Linked DNA regions of Styela clava. The protein of the gene in region 1 interacts with the protein of each later gene in a biochemical or structural test. Links are inferred from orthologs where the notes say so. Each region holds a gene or a part of one and is shown in the gene's direction. Other genes may lie near its edges.

What was found.
Region 2: the proteins of dual specificity mitogen-activated protein kinase kinase 4-like (region 1) and mitogen-activated protein kinase kinase kinase 4-like form a complex in vitro, tested with the Homo sapiens proteins (2 studies listed by BioGRID, with this or other methods). The link is inferred for Styela clava from reciprocal best matches to the Homo sapiens genes MAP2K4 and MAP3K4.

What each region holds. Positions count from the first base shown.
Region 1 is NC_135258.1:10,669,042-10,677,240, reverse strand, and holds the start of dual specificity mitogen-activated protein kinase kinase 4-like, read left to right. Parts: upstream 1-5,063; 5' UTR 5,064-5,153; coding exon 5,154-5,363; intron 5,364-5,874; coding exon 5,875-6,048; intron 6,049-7,096; coding exon 7,097-7,303; intron 7,304-8,199. UniProt on the Homo sapiens protein: Dual specificity protein kinase which acts as an essential component of the MAP kinase signal transduction pathway. Essential component of the stress-activated protein kinase/c-Jun N-terminal kinase (SAP/JNK) signaling pathway.
Region 2 is NC_135252.1:8,152,383-8,160,408, reverse strand, and holds the start of mitogen-activated protein kinase kinase kinase 4-like, read left to right. Parts: upstream 1-4,739; 5' UTR 4,740-4,800; coding exon 4,801-8,026. UniProt on the Homo sapiens protein: Component of a protein kinase signal transduction cascade. Activates the CSBP2, P38 and JNK MAPK pathways, but not the ERK pathway. Specifically phosphorylates and activates MAP2K4 and MAP2K6.

The sequences.
Region 1 (8,199 bases):
CCAACCAGAACGATTACTGGCACCCCGCCTTGCCTTCACTACGTAGCCGAAAACGATTTTGCCAAAATTCTGAACGAATTTCCTGATTTAACGCGCCCCACATTCAGCAACCCGACCACTGCACACGGGGTAAAGCATCATATTGTTACAGAAGGCCCCCCGGTGCACGCAAAGGCTCGAAGATTGCACCCCGATAAGCTAGCCGCGGCAAAGGCAGAGTTTGATAACATGATTGAACTCGGAATCATCCGACCCTCAAATAGCCCCTGGGCGTCTGCGCTTCACATCGTACCTAAACAGGACGGCGGGTGGCGCCCATGTGGAGACTACAGACGTCTCAATGATATGACCGTGCCTGACCGCTACCCAGTCCCAAACATACAAGATTTTACGGCCCGTCTTGCGGGAAGGACAATTTTCTCTAAAGTGGATCTTGTTCGCGGTTATCATCAAATACCTATTCATGAACAAGATATCCCCAAAACTGCCATTATCACACCGTTTGGCCTATTTGAATTTCTCCGCATGCCGTTTGGGCTTAAAAACGCCGCCCAGGTATTCCAGCGTTTAATGGATACCATCTGTCGAGGTCTGCCTTTCGTATTTGTCTATCTTGACGACATCCTTATCGCCAGTACGTCTAAAGATCAACACAAAAAGGACTTGCGAAATCTTTTCCAAAGGCTAAAAAGTCACGGTATGGTTATCAATCCTGCCAAATGTAAATTCGGTTTAAGCGAATTAGAGTTCCTGGGACATACTGTTACAAAAGAGGGTGCTTTTCCTCTCCCCCATAAAGTGAAGGCGATAACTAATTTCCCTCGCCCTTCATCTGTAAAAGGCCTTCAAGAGTTTCTTGGCATGGTTAATTTCTATCATCGGTTTTTGCCCAAAGCTGCCCAAATAATGCAACCACTATTCGCAGCACTTTCCGGCCTGCCCAAGAAGTCGAAGGTTTTGCCCAAATGGACTGACAGTATGATATGTGCATTTGAAAAAACTAAGAAAGTACTGGCAAATGCAGTTATGCTTATACATCCACAACCAAACGCACCAACTGCCCTCACAGTCGACGCTTCGGACGTTGCCTTAGGAGGTGTGCTCGAGCAAAAGTTAAATGGATCTTAGAAGCCAATCGCATTTTATAGTAGACAGCTACGCAAACCCGAGACGAAATACAGTGCATTCGACAAGGAACTTTTGGCCGTTTACTTAGGAATACGACATTTTCGTTATTTTCTCGAAGCACGACCCTTCACGGTTTTTACAGATCACAAACCCCTCACTTTTGCTATGACAAAAGTCTCTGAGCCATGGTCAGCGCGACAACAGCGTCACCTCAATTTCATATCTGAATACACAACGGATATACAACATATTTCCGGTAAGGATAATACTGTCGCCGACGCCCTGTCGCGCGCGGTCATCAACGACATCAATGACGGCATCGATTATGAAATTATGGCCACAGATCAACTAAACGACAAGGATACACAGGCTTACCGCACTGCTATCACCGGCCTTCGTGTCGAAGATGTCCCTTTTTGCAACGGCAAATTTACATTGCTGTGTGACGTATCTACGGGTAGACCACGACCTATAGTGCCTGCCAGCTGGCGCAGAAAAATTTTTGATGCGGTTCACGGGCTCTCGCATCCAGGCATACGTACCACTCGCAAACTGATCTCACAAAAATTTGTGTGGCATGGTCTTTCCAAACAAATTGGACAATGGGCCAAAACATGCCTGGAATGCCAAAAGTCTAAAATAAATCGTCATATACGGGCCCCTTTAGAAGATTTCAAAATGCCAGACAAACGTTTTGACCATATCAACATTGACTTAGTTGGTCCTTTACCACCATCACAAGGATACAATTACCTTCTTACAATAGTAGATCGTTTCACAAGGTGGCCAGAAGCCATTCCCCTCAAAGACATATCAACTATGTCTTGTGCCCGAGCTTTCCTGTCAAATTGGGTTGCCCGTTTTGGTGTTCCACTTCACATTTCTTCTGACCGAGGATCACAGTTCATTTCAGGCCTTTGGTCTGCTGTTGCCGAATTATTGGGAACAAAAATTCATCACACTACAGCCTACCACCCACAGGCAAATGGTTTGGTAGAACGTTTTCATCGAACAATGAAATCTGCCATTAAGGCACGACTCAATGATTCAAACTGGTTGGACGTGCTTCCATGGGTTTTATTGGGAATCCGCACAGCTCCGAAAGAAGATCTTACGGCATCGTCAGCTGAGCTTGTTTATGGCGCTCCCCTCACTGTCCCCGGTGATTTCATATCAGACTCTAAAGACAATAGCTGCCCGACCACAAATCTTCGGCTTCTCAGAGAAAGAGTAGGATCATTGGCTCCAATTCCTACGTCGCACCATGGTCCTTTCAGAGCAAGAATGCCAGCCGCACTCAATCGAGCCAAGTTCGTGTTTATTCGTCGTGACGCACACCGATCTCCTTTACAAAGACCTTATGAAGGACCATTCGAAGTTTTGCAACATGGGAATAAAACTTTCAAAGTACAGATTGGAAACCGAAGCGAAACTATTTCTGTTGACAGGTTAAAGCCAGCTCATCTTGATCTCGACCATCCTGTTTCTGTATCCATTCCTAAACCAAGAGGACGTCCTCCAATCCCTAAAACAACAACGAACAATCAGCGTTCTACAGACGATCGTTCATCCGAACCTACAACCGGTTATGATTACAGAACCAAATTTGGTAGAAAAACTCGTAAACCCACTAGATTTTTATAACTCATTCCGTCTGGGGGGGTAGTGTGGCGAACCACTTAACTAATAATAGCCGTTATGAGTCACAATTGTTTTGTTTATGTTTTTGTCACGCATGATTACTTACGTGCTTTTCTTACGATAACTTGTCATTCTGTTTTCTGTTCGCTTGTCGTTAACATTGCTTTGTTATGGATTAAACATCAACATAATTGAAAGTCTTTTTCTTGTTAGAAAGAAGTTAGTTCGCTTCATATCTACCATTATTGGATATTTCCATTGTAGGTTAGGCAAACAATCCCTTTAGTAGCAATAGATCTTTCTCTGTTGCAGTTTTTTGACTGTTAAATTACATTTTTCTACAAAATCTGCTCCAATTTATTTGAAATTTTATAGTAAATAGCAATATCTTTTGTGCGAGTAGGTTGCTTATATGCACTAATGGGTGTGAGATTGTATACCGATATTGTTTTGTGCGTGATTCAGTCTGAATACTCAATACTGAGATATCTAAATCCGGGTTTCCCAAACTAGGGGGGAGGGGGGGGGGGGCGAGGGGTCTAGAAACGAATATTAGGGGTCACGAAGGGCACACCAGTTTCACACAAAGTTCGATATTTATTGAAACTAGTGCAAAACATAAATTTCACAATTTCGAATATGATCGGGGTAGCGGCGCGCTTGCATAACAATGCGGCTTTACAGAAGTATCTAGAGGGCCGCATGCGGCCCGCGGGCCGTATGTTGTGCAGGCCTGACTTAGGGGATTGTGCAGTCAATGCGCTGCCAATGTGTTCGTCGTGAAACGACAGAGAAAACTTTTTTCTCAACACCTATACAAACAACAACCAAAATATATTTTCCCCCTGAAAAGTTATATTGAGAGAGCAACGAGTTTGCTGAAGAGATTGACGGATAAGCGTGACGGATTAAAGTCCATGCTTCCGAAACAAACAATATATATAACTAATCCCATACCCGACTTGGAATGGTAACCGGACGACAGGCCGTGGTTCGCCATATGGATAAGCCGTCTTATCGGATTTCCTCTCCCCCGGGATCCTATCCTATCCTAAAATGTTTGAGTATTGCCTTGAAGTAAAATAAAACAGCAAAATCTTGAATTTTTGTCACACCCCATACAGCCATAAAAAATTAAAAAAAAAAAAGTATTAGCTCTCCGACGAATTCTTTCAAAACAATTTTTAATTGCCGATTGTTTATTAATTGCCGAGAAAATCGATTTTCTCCAGCAGCAATCACTTTAACAAGAACAACGAAAGCATTTAGCAAAACAGTCCATAGATCCCTTACGTGTGTAATAAAGTTCCGTTGCCAGGTTTAAGACTATTTCGTTAGACATCGTTTTCTCGACTTCTTTCTCGTGTGTTTTACAAACCCGACTACAAGCGAGTAAGCGACTGCAAGCAACTTCTAAATACTAATATGTATACAATTTTATTTTTGTCAGAACACTCCCAAATGACGAGTTTATACTCGTTGGGTGAATCTGAAACCTTTTTCGATTCAGCCTTTTCCGTGCATCTGCAACAGATAATTGGCCTATTAACGATTTGGACCATATATCTCTCCTTATTCATACATGCTTATGTCGCTTTATTGAAATTTAAAGTCACAAAGAGCAAATAAAATCCCCGTGCTTCTCTATGAAGCCTGATTAACGCTAGAGGCGCAAAGCGTAAGTAATTTCTGATTTTCCAAATTGCACCTACAGACAGACTAGTGGACCTGTGTGCTGTGTCTGTTAGTAGCCGGTTTGATATTGCAGTGTTGGGATGTGAAGGATTTTTCTGTTTTGCGTTTAGCTTCAAAGGCAGTTGAAATAACGCCTAGGGCTGTGTTTTTCAACCTATGGGTCGCGATACAAAACTGGGTCGCTTGTTAATTTTCTTAGCGATATAAGGAATGGGACATACGGTACGTCACATACGACATACCGGTCCCGTACCGTACGATACCAGACTATTTGAAAATGGAGTGCAGGAGCGGGGTCGATTTTAACTGAACGCAGAAACTCGTCTATCATTCAGTCATACCGCGCCATACGGATTTTTTTTAATCATAAAAATTTCACATCACATTTCTGTTCGGTCTGCAAATTATGCCTGCACTTTTTAAACTTAAATAGGCCTCATCCTTTATTAGAATACAGGATGAATTACAGGATCAGGAGAGCAAACAAAATCTTGGGTAAAGGATGCTTGCAGAAGAGTGGTTCATTTCAGAATTAAAACTTTTTAACTTTTATACAGTCTATAATCTATCTCGAACCTAGCCTACTCTTCTTATTTTTTTTATTCTTTTCGCAGTTTAATAACAACCAATGTAGCTTTGATACATCTGAATTCTAGAATTGGGACTGTCTGACTGACGGTGTCGTAGTAATGAATCTGCCATTGAACAAATCTGGTGGAAGAGGAAGACCAAGTCTAAATTTGAGATTTTCTTTGCCGCCTGGAAATGCAGGTGTATCACCAGGACAAGCTAGGATAACTCCTAATTTTCCAGTACCCATTGTAAGACCACCAGTTCAACCAATTTTAACTCCAGAAAATTTATCGAGCATCGGAAAACTCATCATAGGACCTTCACAGGTGATGAACAGCACTGTTACATATCTCATAGATTTATTTCCAGATCCCGGAAAAATGTCAACTGATCAAAATGTTCTATATCCTGATATCACTCGGGACATGCAAAATGAATATTGTTCATGATATACCACAGTTTTTTTAGAAATAGAAGTTTTTGCAATATGGCATTCAAATTATTATTGTTTGGACGATGAAATCTGAGAAGCTGATCATTTTCGTTTTACTCAAGTACTCAACTGTTGATAAAACCAAACAAGTAGTCACAATATGGCTCTTGTTTAACCATCTAAACTCCTAAATGAATCTGCTTCAGTAAATCGAGGCTCTACACAATATGTACTAGTATGGTATAAATTCGATATGAAGTATTTAGTTTGTGGTGCAATTGCAGCTTTAAATACAGTCTACAGATAATTCATTTCCAATAGTGAGAAGTATGTGATGAATTTGATAAATGTGTTATGAATTTTCCATTGTCTTAGAACTGAGAATTATTTTCCTACTTTTGCAGGTGTATGATTTTACTTCGAAAGATTTGACGGATGAAGGAGAAATAGGCCGTGGTGCTTTTGGCACTGTAAATCGTATGAGACACAACGATAGCGGTAAACAGATGGCTGTGAAACGAATCCGATCCACTGTGGAGGAGAAAGAACAAAGACAGCTTCTCATGGATTTGGATGTGGTCAGTGTCGTCTTTGGAGTGGTTGATGTAGTCGTTTATATAAGAGTTTCCGAAATGAATAGATTATTCGGGTCATTTAGAAATTGATTGTATTAGAAATTTTTGATTCATGATTTCAGGAGTGAATCGAAATAGTTTACTTGAAAGATGAATGTTTTGAGAAATTGAAGTTTTACGCATCACTTTGTTTAATTCCTGAAAATGATGGTAAATGTCAATCATATCATTAATCTAGACCGGGCGTGGGCAATTACTTCCCTAAGTGGGCCACTTACAAATAAAAGTCTTGGTTACTGGGCTGAACCTAAACCATGAATGAAAAAAATTATTTACAAATAACTAATGTCGATGATAACAATTGCCTACCTGCATGCTTCACATAAATTGATGTATGGGCAGAAGGAAAAAAGTGTGTTGCAGCATCCACGGCCGCACAAAAAAAGCCCTAGAAACATAATTTGTAGGCTTAAATTTCGGATGGGTGAGTGACTCATTCTGCACAGCACATGTTCGGGTGCGGATAATACGCAGGGAGTTACAGTATTTATTTTAGCCAACCATGTGTTATTTTTATTGATAATTCCCATGGAAATTTATATTCGTAAAATCTATAGTCATATTTTCAGAAGAGATAAGTGGCCCGGATGAAACACTTCGATGGGCCGGATCTGGTCCGCGGGTCGTGATTTGCCCTCCCTTGATAAAGACTCTCATTTCAAATTGAAACACTTGGAAAATATATTGGTTTCTAAGTATCAACGCCATCCCATGACCTAGCTTGAAATGTTTCAATTTTGACATCGTGACATAATATCACATTTAAAGTATTGTCCATTCTGAATTGACTGTCGCATACTTATGTGACATTGTTTGTAAAAAGTCCAGCTAAATTTATATTCTCATCACTTATTATAAGGTCTCATATTGATTAAAAATTTTATTGTCTATAACAATATTCTGTTCATTAAAGAAGAACATGACTCCATAGATCTATTTAACCCAGACCCCGTATTCTAATCATTCAATAAAAATTCCACTTCTCTTCCAGGTTATGAGAAGCAATGATTGTCCCTACATAGTTCAATTTTATGGCGCATTATTTTGGGAAGGAGATTGTTGGATATGCATGGAGTTGATGTCTACCTCTCTCGACAAATTTTATCGATTTGTTTATAAAAGATTAAATAGTGTTATTCCTGAAGAAATTTTGGGGAAAATTGCCGTGGCAACTGTTGAAGCCCTGAATTACTTAAAGGTAAAATAGGTATTTTTAAACAGATAATTTTTGTTATATTATCAGCACTAGGAAAATATCTAAGTGTGACATATAGTTCTGTAAAGATTGGAAGGAGATATCTGATACATAAAAAGAATGAAGAATAATTACTTTAGCTTTTCCACATATTGAAATATTTTAAAAATCAGCTCATCAAAAAATATACAAAGATCCAGATTCGGTTGATTTTTGGGGAATGTAGCTCGTTAATCAGCACTTGATAATTCTCTTCATGATATAATAAAGTCTTCACTGATTATCTTTTTGATTAGATATACAGTTTCCCTTCCTTAGTAAAACTGTGTTTTCACCTCTTAATTTGTGTGTAGTTTTTTCATACTGGTTAAAAAAGAAATAAACTCGAATTAACTTGACACCTGTGTATGTGTAACATAACAATCAATAGGTGTTGTCAAATTTAAATCAAATATATTCTAAAATATTGTCTCTTAAAGACAATTTTAGTTTAGAGTTAAAATGCCTGAAAAAGTTGTTTTAGAAAATCTCGATCATCAAAGTTTTGTTCAATTTTTATTTTTACGTTTGATTATGTCAATCTGTCATTGCTTAAGGTATATAGTCGTAGTATATTCGAAAACAAACTATTCCTTTGGAAGGATTTTAAATTTGAATCAGTTGTTTTTCTCCCTATATACTGTATTACTTTTTCGTTCGTAGGGCATACTATGTGTTTTAATTCAGAATGCTTCAATAAGAAACACCCACTGATTGCTTGTTTAGATTACTAGGTTTTAACTCACCTAGGGCCAAATGTGTTTTCAGTTTTTGTGTTTACTCTACAAAGTAATCATCTTACATTGTTTTGTGCGGTTATGTACTTGGAATGTTTTCAATAGTTCACATTCCTCACTCTA
Region 2 (8,026 bases), on another chromosome or scaffold:
AATTGGATTGGAATATTTGACCTCGTCTTTCACTCCGAACAAGGCCATGTAAAACCATCCACTGGTATCTAAAGATGTGTAACGTGTTTTCTTTTGGGAAAGCCGCAACCTTTCAGTGCTGCATTGACTTTGGCAGAATTAATATATCCTTGTGGAGATAGAAGGTATGCGTGTGCGAAACCGAGATGTACACCCGTTATGCTAACACAGTTGAGTGAAACGTTTTGAATACTAGTACATCACACACATTTTCCTGCGTGCTTCGGTTGTACGTAGTAACGCGCACATTTTTGCGCACATGCATCAAATTCCACTTGATTATTGAGCTATAGGTTTTTGACGAGCTTTTGTGTATGGTTTCATTCCATAGAATTTGTATGCTGTTCTAAAGAATACTAGTTTCAGCTTTTTTATTCATTTAAACCGCGTGTTGAAAGTAATGTTTGTAATATGGTTGGTTGGTTTCCAACATCCTTAAATCGGTGATGCCAGTAAATCTTTAATACAAAAAGATCAGTAAAATCTGCAATAAAAACAGCAGTACCCACTCAAATGACAGCTGGGGAATGGATACTCTTAGTATCTGCTCCATCGCGTGCCTCTTACAGTCTTACCAGTTTATATGAGTGCTAATTGGTATCTAAGCTCAGCCAGAGACAAAAGGTTCGGACTGCAGTTGGCGTGACGAAATGTTTTTAAATATATATTCTACAATAAGATTATTTGATTGCATACTACTGAAAGTTCCGCCTTATATGTCTTTTCCCATTGCACTATTCCTTTACTGATATTCGATAATATGACTCTCATCTGACATAGCTCTTAAAGTGTGTAGATGGGTATAATCTTTTCCACGCTGTTCAGATGGGAATGCGCGAATATATATAAGAATTGCTAATATTGGTTTGCAATGCGATGAAATCCCATCTTGGCATTTCTGCCTCTCGCAATTGCTGCGTATACTTATCGGGGAAGTTCTGTGGCGTGGTTATCAAATGAAAAAAAAAAACATGGGAGTATTTTTTCTACTTCTCTACTACTATCAAACCTTGACATTTTGTGAAAACCTTTTTTCCATGCAACCTTTTTTTAAAACATCCCCAACAACCACAATTAATTCTGTTATTAAACTTCCGAAACAAACACCTGAAATCATCAACAGATGCATATCACCAAGTATATATTGCTGAATTGATCTTTATTTTACCATTTTTCATGTAATTCTTTTTGGTAAACCTGTTATCTATGGTAAATACAGTACATTTGGCAATGTTGTAGTGTGACTTTTTTGGCCTCACATTTTTGATATTTGTAGTTAGAGCTCTTGGGGCTCTGTCAAACAAAGTTACATACAAAATATTGGTTGTAAATTGCAAAACATGATCATGTTGTTGGAATAACTTGGCATTTTACCACCCGTATATCATTCATTGTTGAGAATATTAATAAAACCATAAAATTTAAAAATTCGTTTTTGTGAAATTTTTGTTGTAGCAGAATTCCTGGGACAGCATGACAACAGGCAAGAGAATCACGGTCGCCTCTTTTAGTTCATGACAGGTTTTCTCAAAAGGGGGGATTTTATAGAAGAGAAGAAGCAAAAGTGTTGAGAGTCTTTGGCAGTTTGAAAAGCATTGGCATGGAACATAAGAATGAACTACATTCTTTTCCAGGGATATACTATAAAATGTAGCAATTTTCTCATTCTTGTTCTCGTGATATCATTATCTTTCACTGCGTCGTCGTGATCATCCCGCTGCATAACAATTCTCGCTAACAAATAATTGACTGTTCTCCACCGGGTGTATATCCACTTGAACAAATGGCGACTGCATTAGCAGGCTTGTGTTGTTAATTGCAACAAAAACGGGTATTTTGAAATAGTACTCTTTATTTTACGCGTATGTTTCGACAGTATTTTCATATACTGTATATGGGTCGCGACCCAAAGCTGTGCTCAACAAATACCTAGAAGTTATTGATTTTATTTCCCAGTAAATTTGGTGCTTGCGTAGTTTGTGCACCAAGATTGCGCACAACCTGAACATAGTATTGTAACAGGTTATGGTTCAGGTTGTGCGTCATTATGATGCACATGTTTGACGAAAAACACTAATACAAATATCTCAATAAATACCTAAAAGGTATTGATTTTATTTCTTCGTAAATTTGGTGCTTGCGTAGTTTGTGCACCAAGATTGCGCACAACCTGAACATAGTATTGTAACAGGTTATGGTTCAGGTTGTGCGTCATTATGATGCACAGGTTTCACGAGAAAACACTAATACAAATATCGAGCCGTAAAAAAAATTGCTCAAGGCTGCAAACTCCACACCCATGTAGAAATGATGGGCAATGACCCCAAGATGAATAATCACAAATAAAAAATACTTTATGTCTGAAATCAAACTTGGGCCGAAAAGGCCCCCTTTTCTGCCGGACTATTTATACTTGAGTGTGCACGTTCGGGGTATTTGAATTAAATTGCAGATTTCCCGTATCTTAGAGCGATTTTCCATCGTTCCCGGATTTCGTAACATTTTCCCGCTTATTAGTAAAATTTCCCGTCATTTCCATTTCCTGCATTTTAGGGCCCTAAAATGCGGGAAACGGGAACGACGGGAAATTCACTAAAAAGCGGTAACTGCGGGAACGACGTGAATTTGTCAATTTGTAATTGCGGGAACTACGGGAAAATTCACAACAGACGGGAATGACGGGAATTTGCTTTAGGGTGTAGGAAATATGTATTTTAGAGTATGTGTGGGGTAAATATGCATTGAATAGCGAAAGCAACGGCAAGTTTATACAACGCTCCCGAAGTATGTGCAACAAGATGGCGCACAACCTGAACATAGTATGTATACCAGGTTTGGGTTCAGGTTGGCGTCATCTTGTTGCACATACTTACGGAGTGTCGTTTATACTTGAGTGTGCATGTACGGGGTAATTGTACTAACATACATGTTACCCGTATCTCAGAGTGATTTCCCGTCACTGCCACTCTTTGTGAAATTTTTCGCTTTTTAGTGAAATTTCCGTACCCACACAACCCAAGCGTATATTTCCCGTTGCTTCCGTTTCCTAGTGCAATTTCTTTCAAACGTACTCTGAAATGAGTATTTCCCGTACTTTAAAGCGATTTGCCGTCATACCCGCATTTTAGACAAATTTTCACGTACATACACCCCCAAGCGTATATTTACCGTTGCTTTTGTTTCCTAGAACAATTTCCCCTAAACATACTACAAAATGAGTATTTCCCGTATCTTAAAACGATTTCCCGTCATTCCCGCTTCTTAGTGAAATTTTCCGTAGTTCCCGTCATTCTCGCATTTTAGTTTTTGCAATTTCCCGTCGTTCCCGCATTTTAGTGCATTTCCCGTAGTTCCCGTTTCCCGCATTTTAGGGTTGCCCCTAGTTTGGCCTTGGGAAACTCTGGTCTAGCTAGCCAATGAGCATATATACTGTATACTCGTTGAGCTATCCCACCCCTTCAACGTAAACTTGTGGCAGTTACGGTTGGGCTATTTAGAATTTCGGCCACCTCAATGATTTCGGCACGGTAGTCTATACGCCGGATACTATATAGTATCAGTAGACTCCAACAAGAATCAGCTGTAATATTTGTTTATTAATTCGGTATTCAATTTCGCCATCCTCCGATAGATCAATACTGTACCGATGTCCGATACCGGTACCGGTACCAGAATACAGCAATATGGCGTGGCAAATAGGTACCGTACCCGGTACCACTTCGTTTGGCAGCGACTTTTTATGTGAAATTCCATGTGTCCTTATTAATCTTTAAAAAGCCTAAGGTTTGCCCTCTTGATTCTTTGATATGTGTTTGTTTTTATCAGTTACGGTACGTTATCACCTGTTATGCTGATTATTGATTTTGAATATATTGGTAGGGTACCATATTCAATTAATTAAAACAGTGCCAACTACGGGTCTAGTATAGTTTAGTACCGGTACCACAAGTACTTCCAGTGGGCGAAGCGTAACGAATTTTGCATATGTTATTCCTAACCCCCACCTGACAATGCCATCCAAAACTTCACTACGACGTCACCATCACGTCATAGGGCTTGCCGAAGTATAATTACGATCGCCCGAAATGGCATCTGCGCCGCCGATAACGATCTCGCTAACGCTGGCAATCTCTCTCCTATCGTGATCGTTGTGGCGAGAGAACAAGAGAAATAGCTTGCTCAATTATGGGTGATAGTCTGCGCGTTTTGGACGACCATCCGCATACTTTGGTGGGCCCTATTACGCCACTGTGACTTCGAAATGACGTAATTTTTCGGTGATGTAGTCAGGTGGGGGTTAGAATTGAAATATGCAAAAATTATTGAGCCAGGCCAACTAGAAGTGCATGTGGTACTAAACTATACCAGACCCCTTATTACTGTATTACAACCTTTTAAATCATTACTAAATTCAATTTCTATAAATTTGCATACAGTAGCTATATAAAATTCTTTGGTAAACATTTTTCATTTTGGGATATATTCAGATATTTGATATATGTTTAATGTTTCTAATTCCTGCATTCAGAAATATCATTTGTCATTTTACAGTTTTACAATCTATTCCTGTATTCCGAATACTAAATTTTGGGAATGTCTGAATGTGGCTGTCCCTATGTCTGTATGTGATATATAGTGCAGTAGTGAAATGCTTGCCAGTTTTTTACTTATTCTTTCTGACTTTTGTTGCAATATTCATCAATTCTAATTTTTATGTTTAGTCAGTTAGTGCCATCGGTTGCTATGTAGAATATCGTGGTAATGAATTATGATGTGAATGACCTGTTAGAAGCTACACCTCCCAGGAGAAGATCTAGGAGCAAAATAAAAAATGCAAAATCTGGTGGTGCCGCTGCGAACGGGTCGGATGCGTGGAAAGTTGACCCTAAAAACAAACATCTCATGTTTAGTTCAAAAGATCATCGATATATAAATAGCCCAAGGAGTTCAATGCGAAAAAAGAAAACTGAGATCCGCTCCCATCAGCGAGATGCAAAAAGAGGGGATTCGATTCCAACAGCCAGAGATGGCGATGATATTTTTGGTGACAATGATATTGTTATTGGAAGACGAGCTTCTGTCCAATCAGATATGTTTATGCTTGGAAGTGGTCGCCCACTTCGTTGTCTGTCAACTTCATGTGTATCTGAAAGGGATTTTGTCAGCGATAATATAAAATCTAATTCAAAATCGAAAGGCAAAGGTCGTAAAAACCAATCTAAAATTAAATTTCAGAAGCCTTCTCCAACAGAACAAATGAGGCATCGTTACATGCAAAGATTAAGACAGGTTGTCACGGCAGGGAATAACAAACAGAACCAATCGGAAACTGATCGAAGCAAAGTTGATCATAAAACCTCACAAATGTACAGATTAAGACGAAATGAGCTTATCTGGCTTGAATTGCAAGCGTGGTTCAATGATCACTCGCTCATGGAGCAGGATCAAATATTGTTCAATGCGCGACATTGTCTTGTGATGGACGTTTTATCATTTGTGTCTGTGTTTCAATTTGATAGTAACTACATCACTTATCTCAAGGAACTGAAAGAAAAAATAGATTCTACTTTAGAGCAGATACCCGAAGCGGCATGTGAAGAATGCGACAGCTACATGTCAAGTAATGTTTCTGACTTAGAGGTGTCTCAACAATCTGATAAAGATATATCAGATATAGAATCACCCAAAGCATTACCGCATGCCAATCGTTTTTTTCATGACACCAGTCTTGAATATGATCTTGAGACCAATATCTTATTTCCTACCAAAAAGTATATTCAACTACAAGAAGATGCTCTTAGCAAAGTTGGAGAGGTGTTAAAACTTCTTTGTATAATTGAAAATCTATATCCCTCATCCTCTACATTATCAGCAGAATACCCATATTACAGTAGTGAAGAATTTCAGTCGAAAATCGAATCACTCTGTTGTTGGTATAATACTACATCAGATTTAAAAGGAAAACTCAATATTGCTTTACACCTTTTCCATTTCAATTTAACTGGCCTTTCTGAAAATGAGGAGGAAACGAGCAGTACAAGTAATGAAATACCTTCATACCTTAGTGTGGACACATTTAAAAGTATCATAAGTGAATACACGAGTCGAATTTTAAAAAGAAAGGCTGTTAAATCAATCCTGCATACATTTATTCACAAGCATTTCAGTGGACTTTTTCGTGCAAAGATGAACTTACTTCCAAAACAATGCTATATTTCCACCCCTCAGATGTCCCGTATAGAAAATGAGAGTGATTTTATGGACCACAATGGTGATTCTGATTCAGTTCAGTTTTTAATTGGTTGCGAGGAGGAAAGAGAAGTTTCATTTGCGAATGTATGGACACACCTAAACTGTGTGTCACAGTCAACTCGCAAGGATCAAACTTCAAAACTTTCGAATCTTTTGACAAAAATTAACAATGTGTTTTCTGAGTCTCACGGAAATATTTTTGAAGGAAATCAATTAGATTTTGTCATTGTTGAAGCGTCTGCTGTATCTCCATCCGATTGCAACACTGCTCTATTTAATTTGCCAAGTATCAAGCCCTTATATCTCTTTTTCCCTCGAGTTCTGTTTGCCATTATGAAGCAATGTATGCATTTGCGAATGAAACAAGCCATGCCATTTTTTAACAACAGTGGCTCATCTGTATGTCTTTTAACTGCAAAGCAGCTTGTGGCCGAATCTAAGGAAATGCTTGAATGTGGTTTGCTTGCTAGAGATATTTTGAATTTTTTGATCGGCGATATATACATAGATAAGCAAGATGAAGATAACACCTTATCTATGGCTGATTATGAAGCAGATTTGCGCTGCATGCTCACAACTTACCTGGATTTTGTTAACGCATGGTTGGTTAAAATGTTGGGTGATTTACCACATGCTCCTCGAGGTTTTCAGGAGATTTTGGAACAGGAATGGGTCTTTGCTAACAATATATCCCCACTGATTGATTTTGACGGAATTGTTATGTGTGCGAGCAGGTTTATTCGAATATCTGCAGACATTGTTGACTCAACCCGAGAGTTTATTGTTAGTGCGATTAATGCTCTAATTGAGTCGCAAACCGATATGGAAACTCCCTCACCTGCTGAACAAAATCCCTACAAAGATTTGAAAAAAGAAAGAAGAATTTCAGATTCTATTAAGCATACTTCAAAGGCTCAAGCTGGTGTTCTGTGGTTCCACAGGCAACGTTCTGAAAGTCCACATTTATCACGTCATAATTCTGTTCAGTCATCCGAATCGGTGACACCAGTTAGTTCTCCAACAGAGTTCAATATGAACAGACAAATATCTACTACATCTTCATCATCTAGTGCAAATTCTCTTCCGTGGTTGTCTTACAAACAAATAAGTCAAAATGGTTACCAAAAACGTTACTTATTTGAACTCTGTAGGGCTGTCCGAGATTTGTTTATCGAAACTCGAGAAAGAGCTACAAGAATATTATCTTTTGGAAAACGATTGCGTAAGGCCTTGGAGCCTGCAATTGGGTTTGATGTTATATATCTTGGAAATAGTCCTGAAATGTATTGCTCATATTGCCAACTTCTGGAATCTATGTCTTCTGAAGGTTATGTTTTGGTTGATATTTCTGATACCCTACTTAAAATGAACTGGAGGGAGAATAACTCAAATGAAAATGGCTTGTCCACCCCTGCAGATTATGTAGATTTACAGAATTATTGGATATTTATTCCAGATCCTAAAGATCAGTTGGAAATGCTGAAAGCTTCTTTAGAGTGTGCGGGCGTCCCTGAATCGATAACAGTGTGGGGCCTTGTTGAAAGAGCGCTCTTCAATCATCTGCTGACTTCATCTGGGCAAAAACATGGAAGCGATCGTGAAGTAGAAAATTCTACTAAAATGGATTGTGTTATATTTGTGAAAAAACCTTCTGAAAATGCAGGCCTGAGAAGACAGTCTGAAGTTACATTCCCAATGAAAAAGAAAGCACGTGGGAAAGGGAAAATGCAACAGA